Linked DNA regions of Callithrix jacchus. The protein of the gene in region 2 interacts with the protein of the main gene of each other region in a pairwise test. Links are inferred from orthologs where the notes say so. Each region holds a gene or a part of one and is shown on either strand. Other genes may lie near its edges.

Region 1 (3,201 bases), on a different chromosome or scaffold from region 2:
CTCTCTTTTTTTAACTTTGGCTCTGTGTTTACCAGATTATATCTAACAAAGTGCTTCAAAAGTGATTTCTAACAAAGTAATATTTAAATCACAGTGTATCTCATTTAAGTAAAAGTATTTTAAGTCAATAGCTTCCTCAGGAATGTTCTGTCTTCTGACACCATCATTTGAATATCACAGTTTGCAAAGAGCTTTTCCATTCATGATTTCATCCAGTCCTTCCTACAGTTACCCAAGATAGGTACAATTCCCATATTTTTTAAGGTAAGAAAACGAGATTGATCTTGAAGCCAAGTGTTTCATGACCAAAGCCCACACTCTCCCCATGAAATTGAGAAGGGACAGGCTGAGGAGTGAATCTTTGAAAGCAAGTAATGTTTTAAGTACTATTATAATTTGTAGATTGTGTTTCACTGGCTCCCAATGAGCTAGGAGGAAAATGTTTTTAATCCCATGTGTACTCATGCTGAAATAGCTACAAGTATATAAAAACCATATTCATCTGCACAGTCATTCAAACCTTTATTAAGTACCTACCATATGTATAATCCTGTGCCAAATATTAAGGGAATACAAAGATGAATTTGTAAATGGTGCCAATTCCCAAGGAGTTTACAATTTAATAAAAGTGAAAAGTAATTTTCACTTTTAACATGAACTGTAGGAAGGAAATTACAAGTAAACATTTGCCCCTAATGAAGAAAAATAACCTTATTTTTCAATTTAAAACACAAATTGCCAGTTGGGGAACACTGCTATTACATACACCTATATGAGTTCATCCTTTTACAATGATGCTGATTGTTTTTAGAAGAGAAGACGTCTTATGCTGTAACAGCTTTATAATTGGCTTCAAATTTTAAAACAAAAATTTGCTTAAAGAAAAAATTATTTCATAAAATCAGATTAACATTGTACCCAGAGAGACAAAGTGTGTTTGCAACAATATGTAAAAAGTTGAACACAACTGGGTCTAGCAGTAAAGAGTTAAATCTGAATTACTTTGGATACTTGCCTTAGCCAAGTTCCTATGCACAATTTCATCATATATAAAACAGGAATACTTGCCCCTAATTTAGATTATAACTCACACATGCCATAAATACTTCCATCTGTAATAATACAAAGGTTTAAAAAAGCTAGTATAAAAACTTTCCTAATAATTTACGTATCAAAAATAATTTTGACTAGAACTAAGGATTAAAAGAAAAAGGGATGATGGTGTAGACAATTTAACAGTGAACTTTCAGTGCAAAAATAAAATTTGTAAGTATTTTTTTTCTATACTTTTAAAAATGGCTCAGAGTAGCAAAATAAATTCAAGGATTTATTCTGTGAAATGTATTTCAGAGAAAAAGAATGGGCAAATAGTATAATTAAAAATACTCATTGATTCACACTTTCCAGAAATTTTTAAAAAGTAAATCACCAAAGACCAATATTTCTCTCTGCTTTCAATACTAAGCCATTTTTTCTATTAAAATTAATGAAACAACGTATATTTTTATAACAGTTTGACAGCTGTGATTCTCAAACACTTTTAAAAAATACAAAATCATAGTTGTAAACAGATTGTATATAATGATTTTTAAAACTGAATAGGCAAAGCCTTACTCTAACTGATCAAATGACCAATAAACTGGATTCAGGCTTTTCAGGGTACAGATGACTTTGCTCAACTGCCCTGCACAAATCAGAGGTGTCCCCACAGATGTTCTAAACACAAATGCAGCTGCTCACACCCTGACACTGCGAACAGCAGCAAGGGCATAGAGAGGAGACCTTGATGATTCAGTGTGATTCTTCAACAGATTTCTCTTCTCCACTCTCTTCATCAGCTTCACCTTTTTCCTTATAAGAATCCTGGCTGTTGGTATCAATAAAATAATTTTCTTCCCCATTTTCTCTCTCTTCTATTTTTTCTTCTTCATTAAAGCTAGGGGAAGAAATTTATCAGTCTTTCGAAGGAAAAATGAGTTGGTTTAAATGTAAAAAAAAACCCCTCTGCAAGTGTGCCACCGTGTAGCCAGTCTTCCTCAAGTGTATGAGTTCCAATTTGTTATCAAGAAAACTCAAAAAAAAAAACAGAAAATGCTATAAAAGTGCCATCTGAGACTGCGCATGTTGGCTCATGCCTGTAATCCCTGCACTTTGGGAGGCTGAGGCCTGGCAAGCATTTGGCAGAGACCAGTCTGTCTCTACTAAAAATACAAAAATTAGCCAGGCCTGGTGGCAGGCACCTATAATCCCAGCTACTCGGGAGGCTGAAAGAGGAGAATCACCTGAACCCAGGAGGTGGCGGTGCAGTGAGCCGAGATTTCGCCACTGCACTCTCCAGCCTGGGCAACGAAGAGCAAAACTCTGTCTCAAAAAAAAAAAAGTCAGCAATTGAGAAATTTAATATTCTTGAAAACTAATTTATCTATTTATTTATTTGTTTATTTATTATTATTTTTTGAGATGGAGTTTTGCTATTGTTGCCAAGGCTGGAGTGCAATGGTGCGATCTCAGCTCACTGCAATCTCTGCCTCCCAGGTTCAAGTGATTCTTCTGCCTCGGCCTCCCAAGTAGCTGGGATTACAGGCATGCCCCACTACACCTGGCTAATTTTTGTATTTTTTAGTAGAGGCAGGGTTTCTCCATGTTGGTTAGGCTGATCTAGAACTCCCAACCTCAGGTGATCCACCCATCTCAGCCTCCCAAAGTGCTAGAATTACAGGTGGGTGCTACTGCGCCCAGGTGAAAACAAATTTACTTCAAAATTTGAGTGACTGATTCTTTAAACATCATTTGAAAGCATGCTATTATTTTTGTTACTTATGTCAGTAAGAAATCTAAGTTATTCTGTTTTAAAAAAAAATACTTCACAGCCAGGAGTGGTGGCTCACACCTGTAATCCCAGCACTGCGAGAGGCTGAGGTGGGTGGATCATGAGGTCAGGAGTTCAAGACCAGACTGGCCAACATGGTGAAACCCAATCTCTAAAAAATAAATAAAAAAAAATAATAATACTTCACCACAAGAATGTGAATGTGTTACACATGTCAAAATATCAATATGTTTTAAAAGAGTTCACAGGTCTTTTACTACTGGGTAAAATATTTTTTAAAACAATATAGAACAAAAATATATACATAGTACAAAATTGTATGCTTTCCTGCAGGTAACAATTTTTTCAAAGGTAAACCATTAAGACATCTT
Region 2 (4,082 bases):
GAGACCACTGATTTATTCAGGCAGATCTTATTCCTCCCTGGGGTTAGGGCCAAACTTCCCAGATCTCAACCAAGCTTGACTCAAACCTTTTAAAAATGTAACTGTTAATGGTAAGGGCACCTGGGCTCAACAGCAGCTAGTTGGACCTCTGAATGCTTAGGCCAAAGGAAAAGAGGGGAATTTCATTGGGCCCTCAAGTTGTCGCTGCGGCATGCTTCTTCTGCTGCTTCTGGCCTTGATCTTTCATCCAGGATTGGGGATACGTTCATGCAAACTGGAAGGCTGGCATTCCTCCTGCTCTTGTTTTTCAGTGTTAATACATCTTCATCTCTCATACTGTTTTGGTTTCAAAATACTCTGAGGAGCCTCCTTGAAATACCAAACCTGTTTTTCGCCTTTTGAATAAATCCCTTCGCTTCACCAAAAGCAAACCAACCAAAAATCAAAGTACATTTTTGTGTAACCCATATGCCTGTGATTTCTCCATCTGATCTCCTTCTTTTCTCTGGCCTCTTTTCTTCCCCGGAGAATTTTAGGCTGCCAGGGAACCAGGGAGGAGCCGGCCTGACCCTGACCACGGGTGCAGCAGGCATAGGTTTTCATTGCACATATTTTGCTGAGTGGGTGTAAGACATTTTTGCATAAACTGAGAGTTCATGAATGCCATTTCTTAGTCTTTCTTTTGCCCGCTGTCTTCTGCCCAGGTCCATTTCTTTGCCCTAATTTTACATGTAACTTTCTTCCGGTTGGGTTGTTTGCATCCACAACTCCCGACGCTTGAACCTCCCGTTCCTAGCGCCTGACCTAATTCTAGGTGCCGGCTGTTTGATTAATTTCTCCACTTTGGCAAACGAACGTGGCTCTTCTGGAAGCTTCACTTTTGCTGCTAGGTTGGGTGCTGGGGTTCAGCGGGGCTCCTAAAAAGTGCTCTAAAGCAACCACGACCCCCTGTACCCACAGAGCTCCGACCCCGACCGCTGCAGGCATCAGGAGGAGGCGGGGAACAGGGCCTGGACGGGTGAATCACAGGGCGTAACAGGTGCCGCAGCCGCAGCTGCGCTCGCTGCGCGCGGACTCCAGGGATAAGGTCTTTTTCTCCGGGTTTTTTTGGAGGTGAGGAGGAGACTCCAGAGGCCCCCACCCGACCAATGTAGGCCGCGGTTGTTCATCGCCTAGCAACTGGCGGAGCCAATGGGAGGCGGCAGGGCCTGCGGCGCCGGCGCGCTGGGGCGGGGTGGGAACCTCAAGAACCTGCGGAGGCCGGGAGGCGGCCGCAAGGGGCGGGGAAGGCGGGAGTCCGTGGCGGAGGAGGAGCCGCCGGCGGGAGGCGCTGTGAGGCGCTGCTGGCCCTCGGGGCTGCGGGAGCCGGGCTAGGACGCCAAGCGGTGACTCCCCGCCGCTCCCGGGGGCCGTGACGGTGAGCGGCGGCGCCTCGCTGCGGGGATTGTGACGCGTCCCACCAGGCAGTGGGCGGGGGTGGGGTGGGCGCCGGCGCTGGGCGGACGCGCGCGGAGGTGAGAGCCAGTACCTGGCTCAGCGCCCCGCGGCTCGGCGGGAGGCTGCGGGCGGCGGTTGGGGCCGTTGCAGGGTGCGGGTGAGCGTCAACCCGGGCCGCGCCTGGAAGAGGAGGTGGGAGGTAGGTGCTGGCCCCGGGACCGCGCCCGCAGAGGGCTCTTGCCCAAGGAACCCCAAACCCTCTCCCGGATGGAGCGAGGGTGGCGCCCAGCATAGGGAGACAAGCGGCGCGGAGACGCGGAGGAGGAGGGGATAGCCAATTTGGGGCTGCAGAGTCTCAAAGCGGCCGTGGGGCAGGCGGGCTTTGGCGATTTGCTAGTGCAGCCGCAAGAGGCAGTGTTTAAAATGACTTATTGGGTGGCCAGTGGCCGCTGTAGTGGAAGAGAGAACCCAGATAGTGGTCTAATAAAAAGTGTAGGGGAAGAACTTACATCATCCAAGCGGCAGGCATGTGTGAAAATACTTTGGTTTAGAATTTTATAGTCAATGACAGTAAACTGAATTGTAAGCTCCTTGTACGTTTTTTGAGCCTATGCTAATTGCCCATTTAGGCAGATCGCTTGGGCCCAGGGCATAGAATCTACTAAATAATTTGCTGTCATCACGTATAATATGGAAATCTTTAGATTATTACTCAGTTTCAGGGCCCATAGTTGTAAACGCCAAACTGTCATTACTAGCAACGCTGATAAAGTTCTTGTTGAATCTAAGATAATTGAGATTTTTCTGGACGCTGTAATAGGTTGAGGATTAGAAGAAGGGTGGTTTAGAAGTGTAAGGGTGGTGGCTTCTTCAACTTCCTGGGCTCCCTGACAATTCATATTAGAGTCAAGGTCTAGAGTTTGCTGTGGGCGATGGATGTCATGGAACCCTTCATGGTTCATGGGGGATTGGCTTACTCTGGGTTAGAAGAAAATTCTGGTAGTCGTGTAGTTTATCCTGAACTAGAAAGGTTGGTATGACCTGACTCATTTAGGAGCCCGAATAAAATTTGTAAAGAATTAGAACTTTGGAGAGAAAAGAAATGCCCTTCAAGTTGACATCAAGCTGTCTTGAAATTTAGAAGTTCGAGGTAGATTTATGAATTTGGATCCAGTTGGCAAAACTTGATCCATGAAATCTCTTATCCTAAAACTATCAACCTACATGCCTAGCCAGCTTAGGTTATTCATTCACAGTAAACAAGTGAGGAAAGCTTAACTAATTTAACACTCTGTTCTGCCTGCTGTCAAAGTTTCTCAAAAACGGTTCTTTGAGAAGAAGGTTAGGAACTATAGTTAATCAGTGACTGGCTGGGCCTCTTAGGCCAAGTCACTTTATACTCTTCCTTCCCTTCTCTTTCCCCAGCTGTACAGTGAAGATAATAAAGCTCATGGGTTACGTAACATGGGTGAGGCGGCTTGAAGATAACTGTGAAGACTTAGTTATTCTAGGATGAAATGTGAAGATCTCATCACACATTATGCTTTGTGACAAGGCTTGTTAAAGCATATTATGTTCTAAACATAATGAGACAGATATATGAGAAATCTAAAATGTTATGCTGAAATTGTTTGCTAAAGACCTCAAGTCTGGCACAGTGTTTGATGGTATACTTGGGATCTCCTGATGCTTGACAGTCTGCTCTTCGGCCAAGGCTGGCCCTGACACAGGTTTTGTAAACTAGACATTTGAGTGTTTTCTATGTAGTATGCACCTAGAGAAACTAGGCGCATGAAAAGACGTGGCCCCAGAATTGTGTGATTTTAATTCATTTCACATGTTTAAATTGGATCGCTTTCAAAGATTTTTAAATTATTTTCTTCCATATCTTTTCAATAGCTGTCAACATACTTTCTTATTGTTCTAACCATTTGTTCATGATACAAAGAGGTTTTGATACGACATGGGTTTGTTTTGTGACTTTGGTAATGGTGATATGGTTAAAAGTAAAGGTACAAGTTATCTTGAATTCGTGAGTTTATGGGATGAGATAGAACAGAGAAATGCACCATTAGTAATGAAAAACAGCATAGGATCATGCCTTTTGATTGCGGGCCAATATTTTATGTACTACCAGCAGATTTACTGAATTATGCTTAAATAATTCTTTCAATAAACATTCATTAAACACTTAGTAAGCTGCTACTTGCCAGACCTGAGGGTAAAAAGATGAGTCTTTCCTTGCGGAATTGTATTTTGGAAATTATCAGTATAGCAAGGGAGAGAGCAAAAAAATCTTACAACAAATATAGGAAGGCTTTCGAAATGAACGAGACTTTCAGCTGTGTCTGGCTGAGGTGGTGGAGTTTGTCAAGCAGCTGGTGCATTCTGCAGCAGTGCACAGTTGAGGAGTTACAGGTGGTTTGGTAGAGTTGGACCAGGCTGGGGTTGTTGTATTCTTAAGGCTGTAGAACAGTGCTGTGAACATTGACTGGTATATTACAGGGAATCTTCAGAAGGTTTTATGTAGGGAAATTATATTTGATTTTTACTTCAGAAGGATATTTCCACCAAAATCAATAAATTGATCCAAAATGCATTGAACATAATCCAAATATCTGAAAGACAGGAGTCCCACAAAGCAG
Region 3 (3,966 bases), on a different chromosome or scaffold from region 2:
GAAGGTCTGAGGAGAGAGGGAGGCAGACACATCAAATAGGGACTACAGTGTTTCCCAAGTCTTTTTCCCAAATATCCTTACTCAGGCCTGCTCCTTAAAAGACAAAAAACAGAAACAAAGCAACGTTCTGCTCTTCAAGAAGCTGGCGGTGACTACCCTGTCTTCTCAGAAGTCTGGATTCTGTCTGGGTGGTGAGCATGCAGCTGACACCAGGTCGTGGGGAGGGGCTCAGGCAAGGGAGGGGCACTCACCGTCTTCCCAGCATTGTCCAGGCCCAGGATCAGGATGCAGTACTCGTCCTTCTGAAACATGTACTTGTACAGGCCGGACAGCAGCGTGTACATCCTGCCCTGGACACCCCGACAGATGTCACTGTACAGCAAGAACGCACCCGCCCCCCGAGTTTCTCCACGGTGGTCAGTGGTGCTCCACGTCCAGCTGACCGCTCAGGACTAGAACCTGGGGCCATTCCCGACTCCTCATCTCTCTTCCACCCCATCCCTTTGTGACTCTTCGGCCTCCGTAACTTCTCCCAGATCAGCCACCCTCCGCCACTCCTGCCCCGGGGCCTCCCTGCCCGCGGGACCACCCCGCCAGTGTTCACAGTGAGCTCGGTTGCGCCCCCGCCCTCCCCCCCGCGTCGCTCCCACGCTTCACGCGCGCGGAACGGGGAACGCACTTGCTGCAGCCCCGCCTGGGCACAGCGCCCTCGGGTGTTCGGCCGCGAGCCCCACCCAGTAACAGCCAGGAGCCCCTGCAGGCGCCCCATCACCCCGTTTCTTAAAACGGGGACGGCCTGTGGAGAGCGGACCCGCAGGCAGCGCGCGGCGGGCGGGGACGGACTCCCGCGGAGGAGGAACTGCGCTCGGGCCCCCGGGCTCCCGGCGGCTGCCAGTCGCGGCCGCCAGGTTCGAGGCTCGCCGACAAGCTGCTAAAGCTGGTTCCTGTCACACCCGCGTCCCAACCTCGAGTCCAGGGCCGCCTCTCGGGCCTCGGGCCCGGCCGCACAGCCTCCGACCTACCTGCGTCCGCCGCGGCCTCTAAGCCGCCGCTGCTGACCCGGCACCGACCCCGCGCGGGGCCTGACGGGACGCGGGCCGTGGGGCAGAAGCTTAATCGCGTCCCGGCGGCCTCTGCGCTCCGCTTCCCGGCTGCCACCGCGCGCCAGGCACTTCCGGAGGCGGCTGCGGCGGGAGGAAGTGCCGGTAGGCTGCGAGGGCGAAAGCGGGGCTCCGGCCTGCTTTAGCCGGTGAGGCCGGCGGGCTCTCTATGGAGGCGGCTGGGAAACCGCGCTGAGGAGGTGCGCGGCCCTGGCCGGACGGAAGAGAGGCCGGGCGGGGGTCGGGACCAGCCTGCAAGGCTGCGGGCGCGGCGGGTGCGCTCGGCGGAGGGCCGCGCGGGGTCGCCCTGCGGGGAGGGGGTGACGCGGAACCCGGCTAGCAGCGAGCCCGGGGCGGCTCGGAAGGGAAGTGCGGAGCCCGAGCGGGGGTACCGGGCTGCGACCTCCGCGCCGGGAGCTATCGCTCTGAACCGGTGTCTCCGCGAGGGAAAGGGGACGTGCCCGTGCCCGCCGCAGGCTGTGGTGGCGGCTGCGAGACCCTCGCTCCGTGTCGGTCCCGAGACGCGGGGCTCACCAGGCCCCTCTTCTCGCAGCTCCGGTCCAGCGCCTCCCTCTCTCAACATGGATGAGGACAGCCTGGAGGCTGCCCTGCAGACCTACCGTGCGCAGCTGCAGCAGGTGGAGCTGGCCCTGGGCGCCGGCCTGGATTCGTCCGAGCAGGCCGACCTGCGCCAGCTACAGGGGGACCTGAAGGAGCTCATCGAGCTCACCGAGGCCAGCCTGGTGTCCGTGAGGAAGAGCAAGCTGCTGGCCGCGCTGGACGGAGAGCGCCTGGGCCAGGAAGATGCTGAGTACCAGGCTTTCCGGGAGGTCATCGCCGAGGCGGCCCCTGGGGCCGGATCAGAGACAGTTCCTAAAGCAGAGGCGGGGCCAGAATCTGAGGCAGGTGGGCAGGAAGAGGGAGAGGAGGAAGAGCTGAGTGGGACCAAGGTGAGCGCGCCTTACTACAGCTCGTGGGGCACCCTGGAGTATCACAACGCCATGGTGGTGGGCACAGAAGAGGCGGAGGATGGCTCGGCGGGTGTCCGTGTGCTCTACCTGTACCCCACTCACAAGTCCCTGAAGCCCTGCCCGTTCTTCCTGGAGGGAAAGTGTCGCTTCAAGGAGAACTGCAGGTAAAGCCCTTTGCTGTCAGATGGCAACCTCGAGGCGTACGGGGTGCACATACAGGGTCAGGTCAGGATCGGCCCTCCCTTTGCAGTTGGTCCCAGCTTCCTGGGGCAGGCGGGCTGTGAAAGCAGTATCCTTGTTTAGGCATGTGCCTCTTTCTTCTGGGATAAGAGCAGGATGCATGGAAGGAGGCTAATCAAGGTGGCTCACGCCTGTAATCTCAGCACTTTGGGAGGCCCGGGGGGGAATCACCTGAGGTCTGGAGTTGGAGACCAGTCTGGTCAACATGACGAAACTCCATCTCCATTAAAAGTACAAAAAATCGGCCAAGCACAGTGGCTCATGCCTGTAATTCCAACACTTTGGGAGGCCGAGGCGGGCGGATCACGAGGTCAAGAGATGGCGACCATCCTGGCCTACATGGTGAAACCCTGTCTCTATTATAAGTATAAAAGCCAGCTGGGTATGGTAGTGTGTTCCTGTAGTCCCAGCTGCTCGGGAGGCTGAGGCAGGAGAATCGCTTCAATCCAGGAAGTGGAGGTTGCAGATCACACCACTGCACTCCAGCCTGGTGACAGAGTGAGACTTCGTCTCAAAAAAAAAAAGTACAAAAATCAGCTGGGCGTGGTGGCAGGCACCTGTGGTCCTAGCGACTCAGGAGGCTAAGGTAGGAGAATCAGTTGAACCCAGGAGGCTGAGGTTGCAGTAAGCCAAAATTCAGCCACTGTACTCCAGCCTGGGCAACAGAGCGAGGCTTATGTGAAAGAGAATAGGTCCCCAACCTATTGTCAGTTTTGTTTGTTTTTTTGAGACAGGGTCTTACTTTGTCACCCAGGCTGGAGTGCAGCCTGGACTTCCTGGGCGCAATTGATCCTCCTGCCTCAGTCCCCCAGGTAGCTGGACTACCACACCCAGCTAATTTCTGTATTTTTAGTAGAGGTGCGGTTTTGCTGTGTTGCCCAGGCTGGTCGCACACTCCTGAGCTCAAGTGATTCACCCGCTCTGGCCTCCCAAAGTGCTGGGATCACAGGCGTGAGCCACCGCACCCGGCCCTGTTGTCAGTTTTATTCTCTAGAATTCAACTTTTAAATTTACTTTAATGGAAATTTTGAAACCTGCCCCAGATGAGAGAGCCTAGCATAATCACTGCCCACAGTCTATTATCATTTTGCTTGTTCCCCCGCCCCGCTTTTTCCCTTCCTGGATATTTTAAAGCAAATTTCAGAAGGTACTGGGTTTTTCCAACTATGAATACTTCAGAGTGGATCTCTGATAAGGAAATATTACTTAAAAAGTAACTTTTTGAAAGTCCAAGTCAGTGTGAAGACAAGAAAGAGTCACTTCCACATCATTATAGATAACACGTTTCATGGCAGCACCTCTTCCATGTTCGAATATCCACAGCTATTACCATGATGTCTCCATTTCCATAAGCGCATAGCTTTATTTTTGCTCCTTTTTACTTTTCTCTGAGAAGAAATATTTACCAGGCTTTCTAGTAGGTAATTTTCTTTTTAGCCAATAGTTCAGGCTGGCCAGGTAGCACTCCTAGTTCTTTGGATGTCTTACTTTGTGGGGGTTTTTGTTTTTGTTTTTTTTAAGCAGGGTCTTGCTGCCCTGTCACCCGGGCTGGAGTACAGTGGCACAATCTCAGCTCACTGCAATCTCTGCCTCCCTACTTCAAGCCATCCTCCCACTTCAGCCTCTCTGATAGCTGATACTACATGCGTGTACTG
Region 4 (2,283 bases), on a different chromosome or scaffold from region 2:
GGTGACCCCGGGCAGGAGGCTGCAGCGAAGACCAAGGGGATTCATGAGCCAGATCCAAGGAGGGTGTCTCCTAACCCTGCCTGCTTCATTAGACTCTTCTCCTGCTGGAGCCACGGGCTGTCAAGGCTGCCTTCCTTAAGGCATCAGGGCCGATGCTTGTGCACAGAGCTACCATCAGCTGTACAGACTGAGATGGGGTGAGTGCAGACTGGTCTATTCTCCAGGGCTTCAGGCTTGGGGCCTCCCTGCTTGCACTGTGAGCATAGGGAGAGCAGGGAGCACTCTGGGCATGTGTGTGCAGACTGGTCTATTCTCCAGGGCTTCAGGCTTGGGGCCTCCCTGCTTGCACTGCGAGCGTAGGGAGAGCAGGGAGCACTCTGGGCATGTGTGTGCAGGCTGAAGGGAGAAGTACTGGGTTTCGGAGAGGGAAGGAGGGCCCCACAGGTGCCCAGGGACACAGTAACCCTCTGACATTGCTGCACCAGCAAAGGCTTCCCAGCTCAGAAGACAAAAATGCATTTTAATAGTTTGAAGTGCGATGAGGTGTCTGCACAGCACCACAGCCTGAGTGAGGGAGGGCAGGGCCATCATACGAAGTAGGCGGCCAGGGCTGACATCTTGTCCTTGGGCCGCCTGGGGTTGGGCTTCCCAGGGGGCCTCCTGGCCCGGCCCCGCCCTCGACCCTGTCTCCTCCCTGGTCCACTGCGGTGCATGGGGTGGCAGGAGGCTGCATGCTTCAGCTCCACCAGCTCCTGGAAGACGGGGTCACAGAAGACGCAGCCCATGTGCTGTGTCTCATCACCTGGGAGTGGGGACTTGGCCTTGTTGAAGTCCACGTCAAGCAAGGCGGCCTCACAGACACTGCAGGTGTCGGCGGACACCCGCACACGGTGGGCGTTCTCAAAGCAGTGCGCCACCACGTTGCACTTGTTGCAGGCTACCTTCCACTTGGGGCCCGAGGTGGGGTCCAGCACCAGTACCCCACTCTCGCATTCCACGCACTGGCCGATGCCCAGCATGCTCAGCGAGTGCTGGCAGGAGGGGTGTGTACATTCATTGCAGCCCATGCCTGGTGGAAGAGGGGAGCCCTGTGAGGCATGCTTGCCACACCTGCCTGCCCTCTGCAGCCTGCTCCCAATGCCTCAAGCTCCTGGATCCCTCGTCCCAGCAGAAGGAACTCTTCTTGGCCTCGCTCCTGGGGACAGCTTTGCTTACGCTTCGGCTCCTGGCTGCTGTTACCTTTGTTTTCTGCTTATCTGAAACCTCCTCAACTCTTGAGGCCCCTTGCTGGTGCCATCCCAGTGGGTTCCAGCTGACTCCATCCCCACTTTACTTTGCTGCCACAGCTCGTTACTGGTAATGCCACATGACCCTCATGTCACTGGGCCACATGGAGCACCCTGTCAGCTGCTCTGGAGGCAGCAAGAGGGTGGAGATGGGGCCTCACTCTCCTGGCAGCCTCGGGGCAGACTGAGGCCTGAGGGGGCTTCCTGCAGAGCCCACGGTGAATGTGGGCAGACACCTTACTCCAGCAGGTTCCTGTTCTGGCTCAGTGCTCTCTGACCTGCCTGCCTGGACACATGCTCTCCCTTCTCCAGTAATGAGGATGAGAATGGAGGACAGTGGTGGACGCTGACTGGGGGTGCCCACTCACTGGGTGGGTCCTCTTGCTCACTCAGCTCCAGAGGGATCACTGCACACCTGTGCCCAGGTCCTGAAAGTAGACTAGGGTTGCCTGCTTAATTCTGACACAGAGAGAGGGTGGCACTGGCTGGCTAAGACCTGAGCAGTGCCCCAGCTATATCCAGGGTCTCTCGTCTCAGTGCCAATGAGTGCAGTAAAAGCCAGGGTGAGGGGTCCCCTTGGAGTCCGGCCTGGTCCAAGGCAGGAGCTGGCACTGAACAGAGACTGCAGCTGCCTGTGAACAGGAGGGAGTGGCCGCACTCACCTTTCTTCATGTCTCGGAAGGGTGGGTGGTTGTAGCAGTAGGGGCACAGTGGGTAGCTCTTGCCCCGAGAGCCTGATGACCACAGGACCAGCTCAAAGTCGTCCAGAGGGCAGCGGAGCTCCTTGTAGAGCTTGATGGTGCCATTTTGGGGGAGTGTGTAAGTCTCGTCACAGTGGGAGCAGTGCAGGCGGCTTGGCTTGGCCTGCGGTAATGCCAGGCAGGGGGTGTGAGGGTCACTGAGGCCACCGACTTGGCCCCTGCCCCACTCCTCTCATAACACACCATATGTAACCTGTCATGTAGAACCTGTGACACACTGCCAGGCAAGGACCCTG
Region 5 (3,697 bases), on a different chromosome or scaffold from region 2:
GAGGAAAATTAAAGTGACAAATGAGAAAAGATAGATACTCATAGTGAGGACTCTAGACATGTCAAGACAATTTTAAAACATGCTTTGGGCTTCAAGTGGCAATAACTAGACTCGAGACAACATATTTAAGAAGCTGCTGATGAGAGGGAACCCGGCAAGGGCTGAAGGACCACATCAACGCAGACCAAGGATGCTGAAGCAGCATGGAGGCCCCTGGTTGTGGAGGCTCCAGCAATGCCCCTTTTTCCACGGACAGCCTCTAGGAGTGACAGCTTTGCCTTGGCCCACTGGGAATCTGTTTTCTATAACTGGAAAACAGGGCTATCCATATGTTGCCCCCGCTACCTTTTGGTCATCTGAGACACCGCCAGATATTGCCCATGGGACCTATATCTTTTTGGAGATCTCAGGAAGGAATGATTTGGGTGTGACTCCCAACACTGAGGACTCAGTAGCTTCAGAGAAGGTCCTGGGAGAAGGTGAATCGGAGAATGAGGTGCTGGGCAGAGGGAAAAATGCATTATCATACAAGTTTGTGCTAATAGATATGGCAATCCTTCTGTTATGGACTAAGCATGGAAAAATAAAAGAAAATGGAATCAAAGTGACTCAAAGTAAGTGTAAAAGCCAAACCTATGCCCATGAAAGCATCAATGATGGTCTAAGCCCACTGCCTCCTGAACAAGTTCACGGCTCACGCGGGTAGGAAATCACGTTAACGACACGCTGCATTTCTCCTTTCCTTATAACCGCATTTCTCCTTTCCTTATAACCCCTCTGATGTGGTAGGGAGGGAGTCAATCAACTTTTTATTGGAATTTCTCAGGATTCCAACCTCGGACATCCGCCTCACAGTTTACACGTCTTCTCGGACAGCCCGACCGTTCCTCTCACTCGTTCACATAAAGCTCCAGTTTGCACAGCCTCCCAGACCTTCCTCTGGGGCTCTCATACTTAACTGGATTCTGGATATACCCAGGCGAGCATTTCCCAGGAAAGTCGACCCCAGCATCCCCAAAACCTGAGTTATCATCTTTCCCCAAAACCTGCTCCTTCTCCACAGGCATCCATCTCCCTCCTCTCCTACCCTGAACTTCCTCGGCCGGAACAGGAAACCCCGGGATCGCTGTCCCGCCAGGTGACGCCTCACCGCGGACCCTCCCCGTCGGGGCCCCTCGCGGCCCCGCCCGCCCCCGGCCGCCCGCCCGCCCTGGCCGCGGTCGCGCAGGCGCAGTGCCGCGTCCCGCCGCCGCCCCGCCCTGCCCGCCGCTGCGGAAGGCGCCGCGCGCAGCAACGCGCACTTCCTCTCCAGGAGTCCGCGGAGGGAGCGCAGGCTCGAAGAGCTCCTGGACGCAGAGGCCCTGCCCTTGCCAGACGGCGCAGACATGTCAGAGCAGAGTAAGGATCTGAGCGACCCTAGCTTTGCCGCCGAGGCACCCAGCTCCGAGGCGCAGAGCAGCCCTGGGGTTCCGGGGGGGGTTCCTCCGTCCGCGACCCTGGCGGAGCCGCAGAGCCCTCCCCTAGGCCCGACGGCCGCCCCGCAGGCCGCGCAGCCGCCCCAGGCCCCGATCGAGGAGGTCGACCCGAAGGCTTTGCTGGAGGCCGCAGAGGAGGGCCGCGCCCACCAGGCCCCGAGCGCGGCCCAGCCCGGCCCGGCGCCGCCCGCCCCGGCGCAGCTGGTGCAGAAGGCGCACGAGCTCATGTGGTACGTGCTGGTCAAGGACCAGAAGAAGATGATCATCTGGTTTCCAGACATGGTGAAAGATGTCATCGGCAGCTACAAGAAGTGGTGCAGGAGCATCCTGCGGCGCACCAGCCTCATCCTCGCCCGGGTGTTCGGGCTGCACCTGAGGCTGACCAGCCTGCACACCATGGAGTTTGCGCTGGTCAAAGCGCTGGAGCCGGAGGAGCTGGACAGGGTGGCGCTGAGCAACCGCATGCCCATGACGGGCCTCCTGCTCATGATCCTGAGCCTCATCTACGTGAAGGGCCGCGGCGCCAGAGAGAGCGCCGTCTGGAACGTGCTGCGCATCCTGGGGCTGCGGCCCTGGAAGAAGCACTCCACCTTCGGGGACGTGCGAAAGCTCATCACCGAGGAGTTCGTCCAACAGAATTACCTGAAGTACCAGCGCGTCCCGTACGTGGAGCCGCCAGAGTATGAGTTCTTCTGGGGCTCCCGGGCCAGCCGTGAAATCACCAAGATGCAAATCATGGAGTTCCTGGCCAGGGTCTTTAAGAAAGACCCCCAGGCCTGGCCCTCCCGATACAGAGAAGCCCTGGAGGAGGCCAGAGCTCTGCGGGAGGCTAATCCCGCTGCTCACTGCCCCCGCAACAGTGTCTCCGAGGACTAGCAAGGTCTGGAGGCAGATGAAATGCTTTCTGACCCTCACCGGGGCTGTGGAAGGGTGGGGGTGGGTCATTAGAGTGTTCGGGATTTACAGTGCAGTATTCACGTGTAACTTTTAAGTTTTCAGTACAGTGCTTTTATACCTTTAATGCAATGTTGTATTCATTTGGGTACTCTTGTGTAGTATTTAGGATGTATGCATGTTTGTTTATATGTAAGCTTGGTTGGTGCTTTCGCTTTTGTGCTACCTTTCTTGGATTTTTGTACCTGAGACATGCTAAACTGACGAAGTACCTTGAGAAAGTTTGCATCTTATTATTTTATATGGGACTGGTGATGTGTGTTGGGGTAGACTGCTCCTGCAGAGTTTGGAAGAACTCACCAGCAAAGCTGGCCTAACCAAGAGAAAAGTCAAGGCTCTTCGTGACCTTGCTGGGCACAGAAGACATTCTCGTGGAGTAAACTGATTTGAACTGGACTGGTCTCAATGTGAGCACTTGGCACAATTTACTAAACACATATACAACCCTACCGTGAGTCAACTTTAAAGTAAACATTAAAGATTCTTGTGATACAATCATTTTTGGAAAAGTGTACTCTTATCATTTTAACAGAGCACTATGATTGGGAATGAGACAATTCTCTATTTTACAATGTGTACAGATGTAACTGTTTCCCCTAATAGGGTGGGAAAAATCGCTACTCGTGATTACTCCTAAATTTGTGAAGGTTATAGTTTTATTGTCTTTAAATGTAATTGTTTATTTCAAAAACATGCACAAATATAAAGTATAAAAACAAAGCAGTATGATTGTCCATCATCACATCATATGAGAATAAAAACTAAAAATAACTTCCTTCCCTTAAGTTTCTATATTTTATCAAAATTAATGGATGTCTTGTGGGCACTTAAAGAGTGAGACATTGTACTCAGCCCTAACATGTATTTTTCCCCTTTTATTTAACCCTCACAACAGGCCTGTGAGGAAGGCATCTACTGCCTTTGCACCATGGAGGAAACAGGAATAATGTAGGTAATTAACTTTCCATAGCTTGTAAAGGTTAGCAAGAGAAGGAGCTGGCACTTCAACTCAGAATGAATCCAGAGCCCACATTTGTCCCCACCTGCCTACAATCCCTCATACACCCTGTGGCTTTTAGGTTATTTATTTTCAAACTTATTTTTACATTTTACGTGGGAGCCCACACTCCCAGCTCCCACCTCCCACACTCACATGCATTCATGGGCCACACAGAGAGAGAGGCTAGGAATTTTATTTTTCTAGTTCTCACAATATTTTGGAGAAAGCAAGATTATTCTGATTGTGTAAATTAAGAAATTTTCATCTT
Region 6 (3,937 bases), on a different chromosome or scaffold from region 2:
ACATGCTTCTGTGCCTGCAGATGTCCTCCTCCCCACTTCCCCATCCCTAGCCACAGCCACCAACTCACCTCAATGTCCCGGTCCTGTTTCATATCTTCTGGTGGGTCCTGGGTGGAGATAGCAGGGGCAGAAATGGGGGATGGGGCTCAGGCCTCTTTCCATCTGTTTGCTGGGGTAGAGGCCTGGCTACAAGGAAAATGGGGTGCCCCTAACTCGCCAGGAACTCACAGAGCACTGCCCACTTACTGAGAGCCAGGTGTGTGGTCTCAGTTGTCCTCATAACAGCCCTGAGAAGTGGGCACACCTGTGACATTATTGCTGCACTGGAGAAACTGAGGCTTAGTGGAGGACTTGCCTGAGTGAAGCCAGCCTGACTCCCATACTCACTTCCTGCCTGCAAATGCTACATGCTTGTTGGTGTTGTGATGCATCACCCCTTTGACGCCACACTGTGCCAGAGATAAGTGGTGGGAATCTGGGTTGAGATTCAGGTTTGAATCCTAACTCTATCACTTCCAGTTGTGGGGACTTGGGCAAGCCACTCCCTGCCCCCTGGGTTCCCACTGACTGACAGGCATGTCAGAGCTCAGGCTCTGACTCCAGGTGGCCAGGGTTCAAATCTCAGCTGCCACCTGCTTGCCTCGAGAACCTGGCAAGTGACTTAAGCCTCAGTTTCTTTGTCTATGAAATGGGGATGATAAATAATAGGACCTGTCTCCTGGGTCACTGTGGTGATGAAATAAATCAATTCCTGGAGTCTCGCCATGTGGGAAGTACTCAATCAATGCTACCCTCTGTTATTGTTATTATTATTTTATTTTTGAGATGGAGTTTTTTGCTCTTGTCGCCCAGGCTGGAGAGCAATGGCACGATCTCGGCTCACTGCAACCTCCGCCTCTCGGATTCAAGTGATTCTCCTGCCTCAGCCTCCCAAGTAGCTGTGATTGCAGGCATGCACCACCACACCCAGCTAATTTTTTGTGTTTTTAGCAGATACGGGGTTTCACCATGTTAGCCAGGCTAATCTCGAACTCCTGACGTCAAGTGATCTGCCTGCCTCTACCTCCCAAAGTGCTGGGATTACAGGCATGAGCCACTGCACCCGGCCCCTCTGCTATATTTTTATCATACTTTTACATGTGTAAATGTGGACTATGATGCATATTTTATTATACTCTTTTACAGCCCTACACTGAGCCTTTCAGGCAGATGAAATCCACAGCGTTCCCATCACCAAAGCTCTCCAAGAAGCAAAGTAGCCGCGTTGAACCTGTGCTTCAAAACCATTCATTCATTCATTCATTCACTCACTCACTCACTCACTCAACACAAGGGTTCCATTTCCCCACCTCTCTCTCCTCCCCAATCCCCTGCTCATCGCAGCCTTTTTAGGGACTGCCACTAACAACCCTTCCCCACTTCCAGTCTTTGCTCATACCATTCCCTCCCCCACCCCAAGACCCCTGGCTTCCCCTCCTAGGGCTCACTACACCCCATCCTTTAAGACGTGGTACCTCCTCCTCCAGGAAGCCTTCTCTGACCTCTGGGGCTCCCCTACCATGGCAATAATCCTGGCTCCTTTCATTGCCTAGTTTCATGGCTCTCTCTCTCCCATTGAATACAATCAGCACATAATGAGCGCCTACTGTTTGCAGGCTCCCTGGTCTCGCAAACGATGGAGAGGTGAAAAAGTGAGTAAGATTGGGCATGAGTTGCAGACGACAATGCCTGGTCCCTGCTGTTTCAGAGGAGGGTCCCCATGAACGGGTCGGGCCCCCTCTTGCTCTCCCTCCCGTGACCCAGTCCTTTGAGAGGGGAAGGGTTACCTGGGCATCCAGGCCGTTACTCAGTTCTTGGCCATCTTTTTGCTTTACCCCTGCGGGGAGAGTGCGCATAAGGGAAGGGCCTTTGAAGGGTCTGTGGGAGTTCCAGGCCACCCAGAACCGCGACGCAGAGCCTCCCCCAAGCTGGGATCTCCAGGGGAGGTGATCTCAACGCCTCTCCCTACACCACGCCCCCTCGGCGATCCCACGCGCGGTCCCCGCACCAGGCCCGGGCCCCCTCAGCCTCACCGTACACGATGGAGCGCCCCACTCCCGTGTGGTCGCTGCCGAATTTCCTCATCAGAGCCCCCGCCTTCTTGGAGGATACCTTCCCATGAAACTTCTCCCGGAGGCGCCGGACGCTCTTCTCCAGCTGGGATGGGGACACGGGGGCTCCGCTGGGGGAAGGGGACGCGCGATCTTCCCTCCCCCATTACTAGGCACCGTTCTCCCGGCCTGAACTTGACCCTTGGTTTTGGCCTCCGCCGCCCCCCCCCCATCCCTCTACGGCATTTCCTGGAAAAAGCCAAAGTCCCCACAGGGCGTTGGGGGAGGGCGCGGGCCGGGGCGAGCGTCCCAGCCTAAGGTGGGGGGTCGGCCAGGTTATCTCTGGCCTCTGACCTTTGACCCTGCAGCCCCCGCTTTTCCTCAGGGAGGCCTCATTTTGCTCTGGGGAAACGTGGGAGTCACTTTCCTTTTCAAGGGGGGCGAGCGCAAGGCAGGGGTAAGGATCTGGGGTTCTAGGATGGGGGTCCCCAGGAACTGCGAAGCCCCTTCCGCGCCTCCTGGCCGCTCCTCGGGCTCTGTCGCGGCTCCCCCCCGGACCAGCCGTAGCCATCTCCTACCTCCACACCTTCCTGAGACATGGTGGCGGCGGCGCAGGTCCCCGCGAGGGTCCGCACTGCGCGGCTCAGCCGCCCCCCTACCTGGGCGCGCCCGTCGGTCCAGCAGCCGCGCAGGGCAGGGGGCGGTGCCTCGGGGCCGGCTCCGCCCTTCCTCCCCGGCCCCTGTTTCGCTTTCGGTTCGGGGGGGACCGGGCGCGCTGGCTCCGCCCTGGCTCCGCCTTTGCTCTTGCGCCCCAAACCCAGGCGGGAGCCCCGGGTCTGCACCCTGCGGCGGAGCGCGCAGACCTCGGGCGGGGGAGGCGGCGCGGCCTCTGCAGTCGGTCACATGTCCCCACGCTGCGCGGGGTCCGCGTCTTCACGTCCCTCGTGGGGGCGGGGCTGCATCGGAAGGCCGCGGCGAAGCCCCGCGCCCCCCCACCCAGCGCGCGCTCCCCCAGTCCATCACCCTCCTCTGTCCTCCCTCCTCCCCCGGGAATCTGGAGCTTCTGAGGACCTGGGCCCTTTTCCTGCCCTGAGTCTCTGTCCCGCTACGGTCACTTCTTTGAGCCTCAGTTTACTGCTCTGTGAAATGGGGAAGATCCTGGTTTCTACACCATGGAGTGGAGCCTGTGCCAAGATTCCCGAGTGGATCGCGTAATAGCGCCTGGCTTGCAGTAGGCGCTCCACTAGCACTGGGCCACCTGCTGTGTGCCCTTGATGGGGCAGGCAGTGTGTGTGTGTGTGGTGCGGGGAGCGGTGCTTGAGAAAAATACAGATTCTTGGTCTCTAGTAACCCGGTAGAATCCGGCTGTCTCAGGGATCCAGGGAATCTGCCATGGTTGAGAACGCGGTGGGCCGGGACAATTCGAACCTTGTACAGGATGCATCTGGTAGCCCTAGAGTGGTGGGGCTCTGGCCCAGCCTGGGGACATCAGAGATGGCTGCCTCGTTGGAGGAGGGGATGCTTTGTACAGCGTCACTGGAATTGGAGGTCTGGGGGAGGAATAGAGTGGGGAGATGAAGCAGCCTGCGGAGCCCCCAAAGCAAGACTAAGTCTGGGGCGCTCGGGCAAGGGTTTCTTAAGCCCAGCACGCTTGACATTTTGGGCTGCCTAGTTCTTTGTGTGGGGGACTGTCCTGTTATGGGGAACATTTAACAGCATCCCTGGGCTCCACCCACTAGATGCCAATGGCTCCCCACTCTCCCCATGGTGACTACCAAATATGTCTCCAGAGACTGCCAGATGCTCTCTGAGTGGCAAAATAGCATTGTGTTCAACGACTCCAGTTT
Region 7 (4,045 bases), on a different chromosome or scaffold from region 2:
CGTGCTCCTCTTCCCTGCAGTCACGGGTAGCATCTCCCAGAGGCTCTGCAGCCCAGACTCCTGGTTTGTCTTCGGTCAGGTGGGTCCTGGACCCTCAGGTGGGTAGGTCTGGTGCTTTTCTGAAAGGTGGCCAGGAAGGTTGGTGTCAGTCTCATTCAGGATCCTGGCGCTGATGCCCCAGAGCAGCATGAGGCTTTCCACAGGGAGCCGGGCAGCCTCCATGTGCGGCCCCATCCGTTTCACGGCCACTGTGTACATTTCAGTGGCATTACCAGCCGAGGCAGGTGGGACTCTGGATTCAGGCTGGAGAGGCAAGGCAGGGGCCCAGTGTTCCCAGGACTGTCTGCCGTGTGGGTGGTGCTTCTATTTAGTCCCTTGTCTGTTTGTCAAAATTGGCCTGAATGGGAAGACAAAGCACGGCAGGAAGTTGAGAAAATCCTCACAAGACTAAGCCTGGGGCAACTGTCTCCAGGAGAGGTGACCCAGCTCCTTTGGGCTGGAAACCAGCTTTCCCAGCGGGGCTGGAGGCTGTCTGAGGAGCAGGGTCTTGCGTGGGAGGCAGGACCATGTGGGTGCTCCCCGCCTTGGCCCAGTCACAGTCCCGGAGGGAGTGGCTTTCAGTGGCGGAGGCTTCTACCATGCTGGCAGAAAGGGACAGCAGTGGCTGGTCCCAACATGGGTAGTTCTTTTGTTGCAGTGAGCGAGATGGTCCTGGAGGGGGTGGCTGGGGGGCAGAAGAGTCCAGGAATTCACTGGTGCCCAGCACCTAGGAACCTGGAGAAAATGCCACAGCAGCACTCCTGGCTGGCCAGGGCAACACTGACAGCCCCTCCCAGGGTTGTGGGGCCAGGGAGTGGGGGGGTGACAGAGACACACTCCTGTGGGCAGCTCTACCTGGCTGGTACAGTGACCCTGGCAGCTGTGGCAGGGCTGGGCGGCAACTCTTGCATCATCAGCAGCCGGCCATGGAGGAGGGAGGGCACAGCCCGGGATGTGAGCGGGTGTCGGTCAGGGGAATGAGGAAGTCCCAGAAGGACCAGCTCCCCCAGCTGCTGTGCTGGTGGGAGGGTCACAGGCCAACCTGCTCTCACCCAGCTTGGCCTGGCCAGAGTGCCAGGCAGGTGCTCACACCACTCCACCCATGGAGGTGGCTGTCCTTGCAGGCTCCAGGGCTCCAAGGTGAATTGGGAGTGTCCAGGATGCAGAGGCCAGAGTGGGGGTCATGCTGAAGGGGGGGTTCCTCTCTCGGACCCATCTGTGCCTCCCTGGGTGCATATCTGGGTGACAGGATGGCCAAGGGGCAGCAGCAGGGGCTAGGAAAGGCTGTGGAGGGACCTGAAGGGGAAGGTGTCACTGTGTCTCTGCTGCCTCCCTGGGGGATCTGGCTGTGGGAATGGGCACCTCTCCTAGACGCCCCTGGGCTGATCCCCTTGACAGCCCTGACAAGAGCCCTGGCCCAGCATCTGAGAAGGGAGTGGGAGCAGGGCCTGGGTGGGGGCAGGAGGCCGTGTCACGCTCAGTGGCTGCCCCAACTCTCCTCAGCCTGCCTGCTGGGGCCATGTCGGACTACGAGAACGATGATGAGTGCTGGAGTGCCCTGGAGGGCTTCCGGGTGACGCTCACCTCGGTCATCGACCCCTCACGCATCACACCCTACCTGCGGCAGTGCAAGGTCCTGAATCCCGATGATGAGGAACAGGTGCTCAGTGACCCCAACCTGGTCATCCGCAAACGGAAAGTAGGTCAGTGCTGTCCCACAGGCTCCTGGCCCCAAACCCAACCAAGGAGCCAGCTCGGAGGTGGCTGCAGGCTCTGCGACCCTGACCCTCAACTCCAGAGGAACCCCACCCAGCTTTGCCCCTGGCCACCCAGTGAGGCCCAAACTCAACCCTGACATGTGGCCGCCCCACCCCCCAGCCCTCTCTTGCTGGCTCGGTGCTGCCAAGAGGGGTCATGGGGCTCCCACCACAGCAGGGACTCCTGAGACAGCCAAGGGGTGGGTGGGCAGCACTGCCCCCAGCCTAGCACCTAGACCCTCAGGGTGCCTCTTCCACGATCCAGACAGCAGCACACCTCCTCTGCGTCCCAGCCTCCACCTCTCCCCGCCCCCGGGCCCACCCATCCCAGCCCTCTGCCCCGCCAGCACCCCGCCCCTTTTTCGGCCTCTCTGGCCTGCAGGTGTTCTCCTGGATATCCTGCAGCGGACAGGCCACAAGGGCTATGTGGCCTTCCTCGAGAGCTTAGAGCTCTACTACCCGCAACTGTACAAGAAGGTCACGGGCAAGGAGCCAGCCCGAGTTTTCTCCATGATCATCGGTGAGTGACGGGGAAGGCAGGGCCAGCAGGGAAGGCGGGGCTGGGCAGTGGTGCTCGGTCAACCGACAGGCCCACATGCTTAGGAGCCCTGAGCTCCTGCCACAGCGCGAGGCGTGATGGAGCTGGACTGCCAGGGAACAAGGGCCCTGTCTGACACTGGCCCGGTCCACAGATGCGTCCGGGGAGTCAGGCCTGACACAGCTGCTGATGACTGAGGTCATGAAGCTGCAGAAGAAGGTGCAGGACCTGACTGCGCTGCTGAGCTCCAAGGACGACTTCATCAAGGAGCTGCGGGTGAAGGACAGCCTGCTACGCAAGCACCAGGAGCGTGTGCAGAGGCTCAAGGAGGAGTGCGAGGCCGGCAGCCGTGAGCTCAAGCGCTGCAAGGAGGAGAACTATGACCTGGCCATGCGCCTGGCGCGCCAGAGCGAGGAGAAGGGCGCTGCGCTCATGCGGAACCGCGACCTGCAGCTGGAGGTGCGCCTGCTGCCCCAGGGAACCAGGGTGGCCCCCCTCGCCTGGCCTGGTGGGGTCTGCGGGTCGGGGGCAGCCCCGTGGGTCGGCTGTCAGCACCTGGAGTGGATGGCTGGGCTCACCCGGCCTTCTGCAGATCGACCGGCTCAAGCACAGCCTCATGAAGGCCGAGGACGATTGCAAGGTGGAACGCAAGCACACACTGAAGCTCAGGCACGCCATGGAGCAGCGGCCCAGCCAGGAGCTGCTGTGGGAGCTACAGCAGGAGAAGGCCCTGCTGCAGGCCCGGGTGCAGGAGCTGGAGGCCTCGGTTCAGGTGTGGCTGCGGGCAGGGCGGGCACAGGTGGGGCGGGTGCAGCCTGGCAGGGTGGCATGGGCCTTCCCAGCTGGGCCATTGCTTTTTGCCCCCTTCAGGAGGGAAAGCTGGACAGGAGCAGCCCCTACATCCAGGTGCTGGAAGAGGACTGGAGGCAGGCGCTGCGGGACCACCAGGAGCAGGCCAGCACCATCTTCTCCCTGCGCAAGGACCTCCGCCAGGGCGAGGCCCGTCACGCCCGGGTACGAGCGCAGGCGAGGACATGTGGCCCCTGGGGGCCATGCTAGGCTAGGTGGGCTGAGCTCCGCCCACTCTGTCTGGAAGGTGGGGTGCGGGGACCCCAGTGCAGCATCTCCACTCACCCACTCCTGGAGGCACAGTGGATGGTGATCACTCCTTGCTCACCTGCACCCCATGGCAAAGGCCATGGGCTCCTTGTAGCTGGGCACGGCAGTGCCTGAGGCCTGGGGAGAGCCCTGCGCTGCTGTGGTCTGGAAGGGCGGGGTAATAGGGGCCTGGGGGCTCCTATGGCCTCCCCCAACATCCCGACTGACCTGACCCATGTTCCTGAGCTCCTAGCTGGAGCACCCCCCAACTGGTCAGAATGGGGAGCCTCAGGCCTTGGGGGCTGAGCTGCTACCCCCTGCAGTTCGTGGAGGAGAAGGAGATGTTGGAGCTGCAGTGTCGGGCCCTGCGCAAGGACTGCAAGGTGTACAAGGACCGCATCGAGGCCATCCTGTTGCAGATGGAGGAGGTCGCTGTCGAGCGGGACCAGGTGGGTGCTCACGGTGGGGGCTGGGGAACAGAGTGCCCCATTCGAGGTGGGTGCACCAGGGCCACAGGCCTTGAGGGCAGTTGTCAGAGGGTTTTTAATCTTTATTTTGTTATTTTTGAGATGGGGTCTCGCTATGTCACCCAGGCTGGCCTCAAACTACTGGC

Evidence for each region.
Region 1: the proteins of SSX2IP (region 2) and FAM161A interact in binary tests that used the Homo sapiens proteins (3 or more experiments, as listed by UniProt). The two-hybrid records come from large-scale screens. The link is inferred for Callithrix jacchus from reciprocal best matches to the Homo sapiens genes SSX2IP and FAM161A.
Region 3: the proteins of SSX2IP (region 2) and ZGPAT interact in binary tests that used the Homo sapiens proteins (3 or more experiments, as listed by UniProt). The two-hybrid records come from large-scale screens. The link is inferred for Callithrix jacchus from reciprocal best matches to the Homo sapiens genes SSX2IP and ZGPAT.
Region 4: the proteins of SSX2IP (region 2) and TOP3B interact in binary tests that used the Homo sapiens proteins (3 or more experiments, as listed by UniProt). The two-hybrid records come from large-scale screens. The link is inferred for Callithrix jacchus from reciprocal best matches to the Homo sapiens genes SSX2IP and TOP3B.
Region 5: the proteins of SSX2IP (region 2) and NDN interact in a two-hybrid assay, tested with the Homo sapiens proteins (2 studies listed by BioGRID). The link is inferred for Callithrix jacchus from reciprocal best matches to the Homo sapiens genes SSX2IP and NDN.
Region 6: the proteins of SSX2IP (region 2) and SHFL interact in binary tests that used the Homo sapiens proteins (3 or more experiments, as listed by UniProt). The two-hybrid records come from large-scale screens. The link is inferred for Callithrix jacchus from reciprocal best matches to the Homo sapiens genes SSX2IP and SHFL.
Region 7: the proteins of SSX2IP (region 2) and CARD9 interact in binary tests that used the Homo sapiens proteins (3 or more experiments, as listed by UniProt). The two-hybrid records come from large-scale screens. The link is inferred for Callithrix jacchus from reciprocal best matches to the Homo sapiens genes SSX2IP and CARD9.

The regions. Positions count from the first base shown.
Region 1 is NC_133515.1:52,310,044-52,313,244, reverse strand, and holds the end of FAM161A (protein FAM161A), read right to left. Parts: intron 1,937-3,201; coding exon 1,792-1,936; 3' UTR 501-1,791; downstream 1-500. UniProt on the Homo sapiens protein: Involved in ciliogenesis.
Region 2 is NC_133508.1:121,905,599-121,909,680, reverse strand, and holds the start of SSX2IP (afadin- and alpha-actinin-binding protein), read left to right. Parts: upstream 1-1,282; 5' UTR 1,283-1,514; exon of another isoform or gene 1,515-1,636; intron 1,637-4,082. UniProt on the Homo sapiens protein: Belongs to an adhesion system, which plays a role in the organization of homotypic, interneuronal and heterotypic cell-cell adherens junctions (AJs).
Region 3 is NC_133506.1:59,198,070-59,202,035, forward strand, and holds the start of ZGPAT (zinc finger CCCH-type with G patch domain-containing protein), read left to right. Parts: upstream 1-1,166; 5' UTR 1,167-1,205; exon of another isoform or gene 1,206-1,300; intron 1,301-1,653; 5' UTR 1,654-1,681; coding exon 1,682-2,235; intron 2,236-3,966. Other genes in the region: ARFRP1 (ADP-ribosylation factor-related protein 1), read right to left, coding at 1-6, 252-344. UniProt on the Homo sapiens protein: Transcription repressor that specifically binds the 5'-GGAG[GA]A[GA]A-3' consensus sequence. Represses transcription by recruiting the chromatin multiprotein complex NuRD to target promoters.
Region 4 is NC_133502.1:193,906,916-193,909,198, forward strand, and holds the end of TOP3B (DNA topoisomerase 3-beta-1), read right to left. Parts: intron 2,151-2,283; coding exon 1,949-2,150; intron 1,070-1,948; coding exon 588-1,069; 3' UTR 501-587; downstream 1-500. UniProt on the Homo sapiens protein: Releases the supercoiling and torsional tension of DNA introduced during the DNA replication and transcription by transiently cleaving and rejoining one strand of the DNA duplex.
Region 5 is NC_133507.1:5,529,857-5,533,553, forward strand, and holds NDN (necdin), read left to right. Parts: upstream 1-1,297; 5' UTR 1,298-1,385; coding exon 1,386-2,351; 3' UTR 2,352-3,197; downstream 3,198-3,697. UniProt on the Homo sapiens protein: Growth suppressor that facilitates the entry of the cell into cell cycle arrest.
Region 6 is NC_133523.1:9,278,975-9,282,911, reverse strand, and holds the start of SHFL (shiftless antiviral inhibitor of ribosomal frameshifting protein), read right to left. Parts: upstream 2,801-3,937; 5' UTR 2,690-2,800; coding exon 2,669-2,689; intron 2,197-2,668; coding exon 2,073-2,196; intron 1,877-2,072; coding exon 1,827-1,876; intron 108-1,826; coding exon 69-107; intron 1-68.
Region 7 is NC_133502.1:184,844,282-184,848,326, reverse strand, and holds the start of CARD9 (caspase recruitment domain-containing protein 9), read left to right. Parts: upstream 1-1,245; 5' UTR 1,246-1,393; coding exon 1,394-1,742; exon of another isoform or gene 1,743-1,895; coding exon of another isoform or gene 1,896-2,178; coding exon 2,179-2,316; intron 2,317-2,488; coding exon 2,489-3,348; intron 3,349-3,755; coding exon 3,756-3,881; intron 3,882-4,045. UniProt on the Homo sapiens protein: Adapter protein that plays a key role in innate immune response against fungi by forming signaling complexes downstream of C-type lectin receptors.